Nothobranchius furzeri: one gene and its partner. The protein of the gene in region 1 purifies or fractionates together with the protein of each later gene. This does not show direct contact. Links are inferred from orthologs where the notes say so. Each region holds a gene or a part of one and is shown in the gene's direction. Other genes may lie near its edges.

The links.
Region 2: the proteins of gpr161b (region 1) and prkacab purify together in Homo sapiens (affinity purification with mass spectrometry; 3 studies listed by BioGRID and IntAct, counting the BioPlex papers as one, with this or other methods). This does not show direct contact. The link is inferred for Nothobranchius furzeri from reciprocal best matches to the Homo sapiens genes GPR161 and PRKACA.

What each region holds. Positions count from the first base shown.
Region 1 is NC_091754.1:25,585,911-25,590,327, forward strand, and holds the start of gpr161b (G-protein coupled receptor 161), read left to right. Parts: upstream 1-1,306; 5' UTR 1,307-1,396; intron 1,397-1,784; 5' UTR 1,785-1,823; intron 1,824-2,810; 5' UTR 2,811-2,854; coding exon 2,855-3,198; intron 3,199-3,651; coding exon 3,652-4,373; intron 4,374-4,417. UniProt on the Homo sapiens protein: Key negative regulator of Shh signaling, which promotes the processing of GLI3 into GLI3R during neural tube development.
Region 2 is NC_091744.1:6,143,525-6,147,830, reverse strand, and holds the start of prkacab (cAMP-dependent protein kinase catalytic subunit alpha), read left to right. Parts: upstream 1-1,488; 5' UTR 1,489-1,712; coding exon 1,713-1,758; intron 1,759-4,306.

The sequences.
Region 1 (4,417 bases):
TGGCATACTGTTGGAGGACCCATAATCTGGAAAGCCTTTTTAAAGCTTCTCTGTCTTTTGGAGTTTTAGTTTTAGGAAACTCCTTTGTAATCTTCTGGGGTTTATTTAAGACTGCATTTTCCTTTTCCTTTGTTTGGAACTCACACTTATTTCTTTGCAGAGCCTGTCAGTAGCTCAGTCAGTAAGGCTTTATGAGAGTTTCCACTGGACTGGAACTGATCTGAAAACACTTGCTGCCTCTTTTACTGTTCGAAAGCTCTGCCCCTTTTCTGTTCATGTAATACATTACATTAAGTAAAAAAGAATGAGAACAGGCGTGAAAAATAACATTTAATATGAAACAATGCAAACACTATGAATGCCTAAATAAATAAAAGCTTAAAATGTGTGTTTGAACGCCTTTAATTCCTATTTGTTTACTTGATTTGTATATGCTTGGCATAATTTTTTACATTGTGGCACCAAATTTATTTTACTTGTCTCATCTGTTAAATCAATTGGGACCTAAATCATTATTTCACTTGTTATGTTCTGATTATTAATATTAAATCATGGCTGAAATGGATTTTCAGCAAGGACTAACAAGTCTGAATTCCATAAAAAAGTTCCTATACAGCTTTAGATACCTTGGAGGCTTGTTATTTCTGGCTGCTCCTAATAGTCTCCTGAGATTGGCGATTGGTCCCTAATGAGCTCAATTGAAAGGATTAGCAAACAAAATATTCTGACAAATTAAAAACCAATTTGCATAAATACGTACATATATCTTTTCCCAGGCTCCGTCAAGTCTGCCAGCTGACCTGTACACACACAGTTCAAACTTCTGCAGAGAACCTTGTTTGGACTGCTTCTTTGCTTCTTCAATGCCTTTCATCAGGGTCATACTCTGTGAAAAACAAATGAAAACTTTAAAAATCACAAGATTCTAAAGATTAGACAAAAGGATAGTTTTTTTGTTTTATATATATGAGAAAACCCTTTGATGTAGCAATATTGAGATGAATACCCAGTTTGGCTGCAGCTGTCATAAAAGAGTGGACATATGTGCCATCTCCAATCCAGGAAAGGAAGGAAATCAAAAGATGCACCTCAAAACTTTTTTGTAAGACAAACGTTCGCGGGCTTAAATATGTTTATCTTCCACAGTTATTTGAAAATATGGTAATGTTAGTAATTCTGAAGCTCACTTATGGTTGCAGGTCCTTTGCCGGAAATGGGAACATTTTCCTGCACAACACCTCATTTCTGATTGGAAGACGTATGATGACGAATTTTTGCGCGAATCTATGATCTCTACGTGTGTGGTCCGCTCCAGCAGCGAGGCGTCTGTGAACTGTTGCAGAGCGTCATTTCGTTTTGGTCATCATGAATGTTCATGTTTATTCAAACAGTTTAGGTAACAAAACAACAAATTACTTTTACATTTCATTTTTGAAACCGAATGAAAAAGACATGAGGGTTTTTAGAAACAAATACATCGGAGAGGTTACAAAATGCGTTATGGCTTAAACAACGCAATCCCGTTGAAGATGTCAGATGAGTAGATGTAGAAATGAAAGCGGAGCAGTTTCCCTCCACGACCACCCACGCACACAGTGGGAATAGAAGTTTAGGTGGGAGGTGGAGGAGGACGCCATTGCAGCCACAGCTGGCTGTTGGAGAGGGATGAGCGATACCAAACATTTGCTTTTCAGCACTAGCTTTGTGCTTTTTTCTGCCATTCTCTCCCCTCCTAGAGCGTAGTGTGGAAACATAAAAGTAACATGGACGTTTTGTCTTCGCAGAAGAGAGAAATGTGGAGCCGAAGCGCCGAACAAAAGCAGGTAAAGAAACGAGTTCGAGGGAGGACAATGGGGGAAAGTTTTCGGCTAACGGGATGTTTAGCTAACGTGTTAACGGAACCGAGTATTTCTGCTTAATTCAACAACATTTCGGCTGTTAGCTGTGATTAAAAGTTGTGTTAGAATAACTTTTTGTACCTGACTCCCAGACACAAAGTTAGTTTATGGAGAATTTATGGTTCTGATGTTGTTCAAAGCTAACATTTGTTTATTTAATAGCCTGAAATCTGAGCACAACTTCGGATTTCAAGCTTTTTATTGAGGAACGAGATTTATCCTCCTCATGGACAAAATTAAAGACCCTTCTGTTTGAAAAGAGTTTATGTCCCTTGTTTGTAAATGTAACAAAGTTTGTGATCCATACAGACAAGTATGTGTTCGTTTACAAAACAAAACATTTATAATAATGCAGCTGCATAAATAAATATAGTTTTATAGATCTCAAATCTAAATCTACACAATTATGCTTTAGCATTAAGACTTTTTGGGTTCTTTTGGTGCATTTTACTTGAACTGTAAGTTTTATTGATAATTACTAAATGTATTGTGCATGTACTTTCGGGTGAATAACAGATTCTATATATTTATGTATTTTTATTTCTAATTAAATGTCTTCTTAGACCCAAATTCGGCTACTGACAGAAAAAGAAAAAAATTACAATTAAATCTGAACAAATGTTTATGTTTTTTTTTCTATTTCTGTAACTTTTAGTAAATAACAAAAAAGTAATTTGTGAACTCTAATATATGTTTTATAGGATTAAACAGCACTAAACAATTGGTTATCATTAGGAAATTGCTGTGGTATTTATTTTAGAAATATAATTCAGAAATCATGAATTTTATAATTAATAAAATATCCATGTTTTTTCTAGAACTTTTGACTCATTCAGGAGGTAAAATATGGTTAAAAAGTCAATTTTTCTGGTGGGTTCTTCATGATCGTGATGGTGAGTTTGTCCTTTGCAGTCTCCCACTCTTGAGTCACCCGTCCGGTGGACCAGTCCCTCACCATGAACACCACCAGAAACTGCACTCCGGCGGGGAATGGCGAAGGTCTGGCAGCCTTGGAGTCCGTGTCCATCGTGACCATCACTCTCCTGGCCTTTATGGGGAACCTGCTGATTGTGGTGACCCTTTACCGGAGGCCGTACCTCCTCACACCCAGCAACAAGTTTGTTTTCAGCCTGACGTTGTCCAACCTGCTGCTGTCGGTTCTGGTGCTGCCGTTTGTGGCTGTGAGCTCAGCGAAGAGAGAGTGGGTGTTCGGGGTGGTTTGGTGCAATTTCACGGCTCTGCTCTACCTGCTCATCAGCTCAGCCAGCATGCTCACCCTCGGAGCTATTGCTATTGACAGGTGAGGCCCAACTTACATTTGTAGTTATAAGTTATTTTGGCATTATTTATCTTGATTTATAGACTTTTATTTAATGGAACAATCAATTATCTGACTAATATTTGCCGAAATTCCTGTTGTAAATAACTTGAGGTAAACCCTGCATCATTTCGTTGTTCCCAGGAATCACAAAGCTTCTACTGTCCACACTGCTGCAAACGTTTTCAGCAGGCCTCCCAGTTCTCTGTTTTCCTAATTACCCTAGGCACCTTTGGGGATTTCTGATTACACAGAAACTTTTTGTTCTCCTTCCAAGCTCCCTTCTCTTAGCTGTGTTTGCATCTTTTAGCAAAAAATGCAGTATTATTCCCCACACACACACACACACACACACACAGCTTTTATTTTCAGCATCACTCATCAGCCTCTGTTAGAATCTGAACTGTGCTGACTAATTCTGTCTGATCTGTGCAGGTACTACGCCGTGCTTTACCCGATGATCTACCCCATGAAGATCACGGGGAACCGGGCTGTGGTTGTCATAGTCTACGTGTGGCTGCACTCTTTGCTGGGCTGTCTGCCTCCTCTGTTTGGCTGGTCCTCCTTTGAGTTTGACTGCTTTAAATGGACGTGTGTGGCGTCTTGGTCCAAAGAGCCCAGCTACACGGCCTTTTGGGTAATTTGGTGCATGCTTCCCCCATTCTTCATCATGCTGATCTGTTATGGAGTCATTTTCCGTGTGGCTCGCATGAAAGCCCGCAAAGTACACTGTGGGACGGTTATTGTGACCCAGGATGACTCAACAGGAGGTCAAAGAAATGGGCGCAAGAACTCAAGCACATCGACCTCCTCTAACGGAAGCCGGCGGAGCCTCGTCTACGCGGGAAGTCAATGTAAGGCCTTAGTCACCATCTTGGTGGTGATCGGTACCTTCCTCGTGACGTGGGGGCCTTATGTCGGGGTGGTGTGTACGGAGGCTCTGTGGGGTCAGGGCAGCGTGTCTCAGGGACTGGAGACTCTGGTGGCGTGGCTATCTTTGTGCAGCGCCATGTGTCACCCACTCATCTACGGCCTGTGGAATAAAACCGTGAGAAAGGAGCTGCTGGGTATGTGCTTCGGAGATCGCTACTACAGAGAGTCGTTTGCCACAAGGCAACGAAATTCCCGCCTCTTCAGCATCTCCAACAGGATCACAGGTAGGGCTGCAGCAGGGTTTCTCTGTCACGTGATATAAATGATA
Region 2 (4,306 bases), on another chromosome or scaffold:
ACTCTAGCCTCATGTTGCCAGGCAACTGCTGCAAAAAAGAGAGAAGGGAGGGGTGTGTCTGCTCTCGACCATTTTATACCGATCAGTGAGTAACTCCCCCTTCAATCCATCTGTTACCTCTGTCTGCTTCTCACATCTGCCCTGTTTAAAACAACCGAAACAGCAGCAATCAGAATTGGATGCACTCCGAATGCAGCATTATGTAAACATGCAGCAGGGTTTAAGAGCTAAAAATAAGCTGATCAGCTGCAAATCGATCTGGTAAATATTGCCAAACATCTGCTTGTTGCATCTTTATTTAATTTGAAGAGCTGCCACTTTTGCCTAACGTTGACAGTCATTTGGCATGGTTTTACAGCACCTGAGATCAAATGTGGAAAAGAATATAGCTGGTTAATTGGTTGTGCTGTAAAAAATGTGGCTTCAGAGTCAAAGTGATGAGGATGCTATGAGATCTATTTATAGATTTGATTTATTTTTTCCTACCAACACAAGCTTACGTTAAATCAAAGGGGCATTCTAATGCAAATCTGCGAATCGGAGCTTTTGATGATGCTGATGATAAAAGGACCCCTGGTCCGCTGCTCTCTAGTCCAGCTGCTGCGGGGTGATGAAGATGAAACACCAGTTTTTAAAATCTTGTTTATTTGTGTTCATTTCTCACAGAATAGCCTGCGAAATGTTTAGATGTCTTTGCTGCCACACTGCGCCGCGCGTGCGTTAAATTCTGACCAACATTTCTAAAAATAGACTCACGGTTGACGTCACTCAGCCAAACGTGTAACAGTCGCTCAGCAGCGGGAAAGAGCGAAGTAGAGGAGGAGGGTATTTATGTCAATCACTGGTGACAGCCAATGGGCGTCCTCGTGTTCGCTGAGATTCCCACGGTCCGTCCGTATCTAGCCAATAGAAGGGCCGGATCACAAAAAGTGGGCGGAGTCGTTGTCGGGAGGAAAATATTCTGTGACGTTGCCCTCATTCGCGTTGTGTTGGGCGGTGGGAAGCTGCTGTTGTTGATTGACGGCTGCAGTTGGCCAATCACAGTAAACTGTTGGTCACCGCTCTGATAAAGTGGCCAATCATCGACGTAAGCACGAGCTGTCATTCAACGCTGGTTTAAGCAAGTAGGCGGGACGTTCGCTCCGCTGTAGTTCCGTCATCTCGCTGGTCTCCGAGGCTACGGGGGCCCGATGTTGATTTGGGTGAATACCTGTCGTTGTCGGACCCCGCTGAGGCTAAAATTTTGCTAAGCTGGTTTTATTGACAACAAGCGAGACGCTTTCGATTGAGAACATTGCTCCCTCTCCGCTGGTATTGTTGTTTTTATAGGCTGGGAGAGGTGGTGGAGAGCCGGGGAGGGGAGCTCCGTTCGGCGGGGGCTGCAAGGAGGGTCAGGTGGAGACTGTATCCTCCGTGTCCAGGCCAGCTGCCTCCGAGCTCAACCCTGAAGCTCCGGCGAAGCCCCAGCTCAACGTGGATTTAAATCCGATGCTGGCCAGCGGCTGCGGGTGACCGTGGGAGGGAGCGAACCCGCTTATCTAACGTGGCGCCGCATTAGCAGCTGTCAGGCTACTAAAGAGCAAGACCTCGGAGTGAACGCTCCGTGCTGCTGCTGGATTCAGGAAAACACCGTCCAGATCGAGATTTGACCGACTTGAGGAGGCTGCAGGGCGGCCGGAACGCCGCGGATTGCCTGTTGACAGGTTGTCATCATGGGCAACGCGCCCACGGCAAGAAAGGGCAGCGAGATGGAAAGCGGTGGGTATCCTGATCCGTTACATCCTCACGAGATGATCAGAGACAACGTGACACGGCAGGCGATGTTAGCTTTACAAAACCTGCAACACAGCGGCCTTTCCTCACGATGCTTTCATTTAATACCATCCACATGATGTCCTCCTTACAAGCGAATTAGGATGTTATTTGACATGAACCCCATACCAGCAGCGATGGCTGCAAGTTCTTCATCATTTCAAATATGTTATTGAGATCTCTAAATAAAACTCAAGATTTCCTGCTACAGGGCATTTAACTGAGGATGCAAAGCTAGAATTAACTGCAAAACAACCACTCTTAAGCTGCAGTAATATTGGCATCCTCACTTCCTCTTGTACTCGGATCTTGGCAAGACTGCAACAAACTATGTGTCAGATATTTCCTGAACACTCTGTGCCTGTTGCTCTTTGGAGGGATGTATTGTCAAGACTTCTTGCAAACATGGGGGGGGGGGGGGGGGGGGGCATTTAGTGTTGATTGGCTAAGGGATATAATTTGGTCTATCAAATAAACAAAAGTATGGAAGCCTACTGATGAGAAAGCGATGGCAATCAAAGCGATTGTGTTTTATAAATCTACATTTTAGGTTGACATTACGTGACTTTTCATTAAGAACCACAACCTTTGTACCTCAGGGCGCAGTAAAAACAACCTGCACATTGGAAACATGAAAAATATACATTCTTCAATATGAAGCGTGAATATTTTGGCTCAGAATCGCTGCTTTGGATGTTATTCTTGTGTGTTGTTGTGCTGTAAGTTTTACTCACGTTTACAGCAATCCTGTTACTAAATAAAACTGGATTTACTTTGACTAATTTGATAGACGATGTGTGGGGCTGGGAAAAAGTATTTACCTCTTTACAGATTTCTACAGTCTTTGCTTTTGGGGTCAAATTTAGATGTTTCAGACTCTGCTAATTTCAGTATCTGATTTAATTCATCAAGGTGGGGGGAAATTGTCTGGCTCTATGTGAAAATAGCCTGCAGCCAGCCGCATGCTTCCTTATGGGAAGTTCTCTGTGTAGAATTAAACAGAGGATGAGTCTGGCAGGCCAGGCTAATGTGAAAACTGTTTAATTGGGGATAACACCTTTGGTGACAACAGCTGATGCAGCTTTAAGGTCAAAGGCTACAAACTCCTTCAAGATTTTCTGATAGAATTCATGTTTGCATCCGTTGCAGCAAGTGGTCCAGGTGCTGAAGCAGCGAAGCCCTAAACATCACACTACCACCACCATGGTTGACCATGATGCTCTTTCACTGACATTTAATTTTACACCAGATTTAATGGGTTGCACACCTTCCATAAAGTTTGAATTTCATTTGGTCAGTCCACAAAATATTTTGCCAAAAGCCCGGGAGATCATGATGCCTTTGGCAAATGTGAGATGGGTCTTAGTTGTGTTCTTTTTTTAATCTGCTGAGGTTCTGGCCTTGGAACTATAAACATGAATACTTAGATGACCCATTGGGCTCTGGGGAGTGTAACAGCGTGCATTCAGGCTTCCAACACAAAATAATGGACACCACCAGTGTTGTTGAGTACTAAAAGAACTTCAACAAAAGAACTTACCAAGTATTCTGTGCACCTAAATAATAGTGACACACACCCCCATCGACAGTTGCCACATACAACCTGAAAAACATTACAAATAAGATGTAGAAACGCCAGGAAAAGTGACACCGGTCAATTTAGGCAGAAATGTTGAAATTTTTAACGACATAACAATTGATAACAACAATAAACAACTACTCGGTTCTGTAAAAAAAAAAAACAGAACATATAAATGAGAAAAAAATAAAGCTGAAAACTACTTCCTGGTAGCACTGGACATCTTAAAATTTGTGATCTTGGGTCCTCTGAAACCTACCAGCTCGCAGCTCAGAATTCTGAGTTTAATGCGTCATTTCCGGTTAACTTACCTCAGAAAAACGAGTTCTGACGACAACTGGAACGCACCACTAATCTCCATTTTCAGTCAATGGGGCTAAAAAAGCTATTTTTTAATCTGCTTTGCCTGACGCCCTGAATTGCACACATGTTGCACTTCAATTTAAATGAAAAGTAAAGATGTGTGTTTCGATCACACCTGTCAAATTTTGAAACGTATGAGTTTGTAAAAATTTGTAATTACAATTACAAATCGGACGTCCCCCCCCCCCCCCCCCCCCCCCGTGTAGCTGCTATTTACCACATGGCAAGATTCATGGTTGTTCTTTCCTACTGAAAGAAGGATTCGAAGCTCCCTTAACCATTTTTCCTATCCTCTTCTATAATGGCCTCCATTTAAAATGATAGCGCAGCCGCGATGTGGCGCGTCTGTCTCCGGTGTGCCCTAAGCTTTAGACACCATAAAGACAGCACCAATCCAAGGGGGGCCTACATATGGTATGTCTGTTGGGTTATAAGCTTGACTCTCCGAAAGTCCAGTTAGAATTGACAAAGTTCATCGGATGAGAAGCGAAACATCTTCAAGAAACCAAAGAAGTCCAGTTGCCTTCATTTGAACTCTCATAATGCAATTTT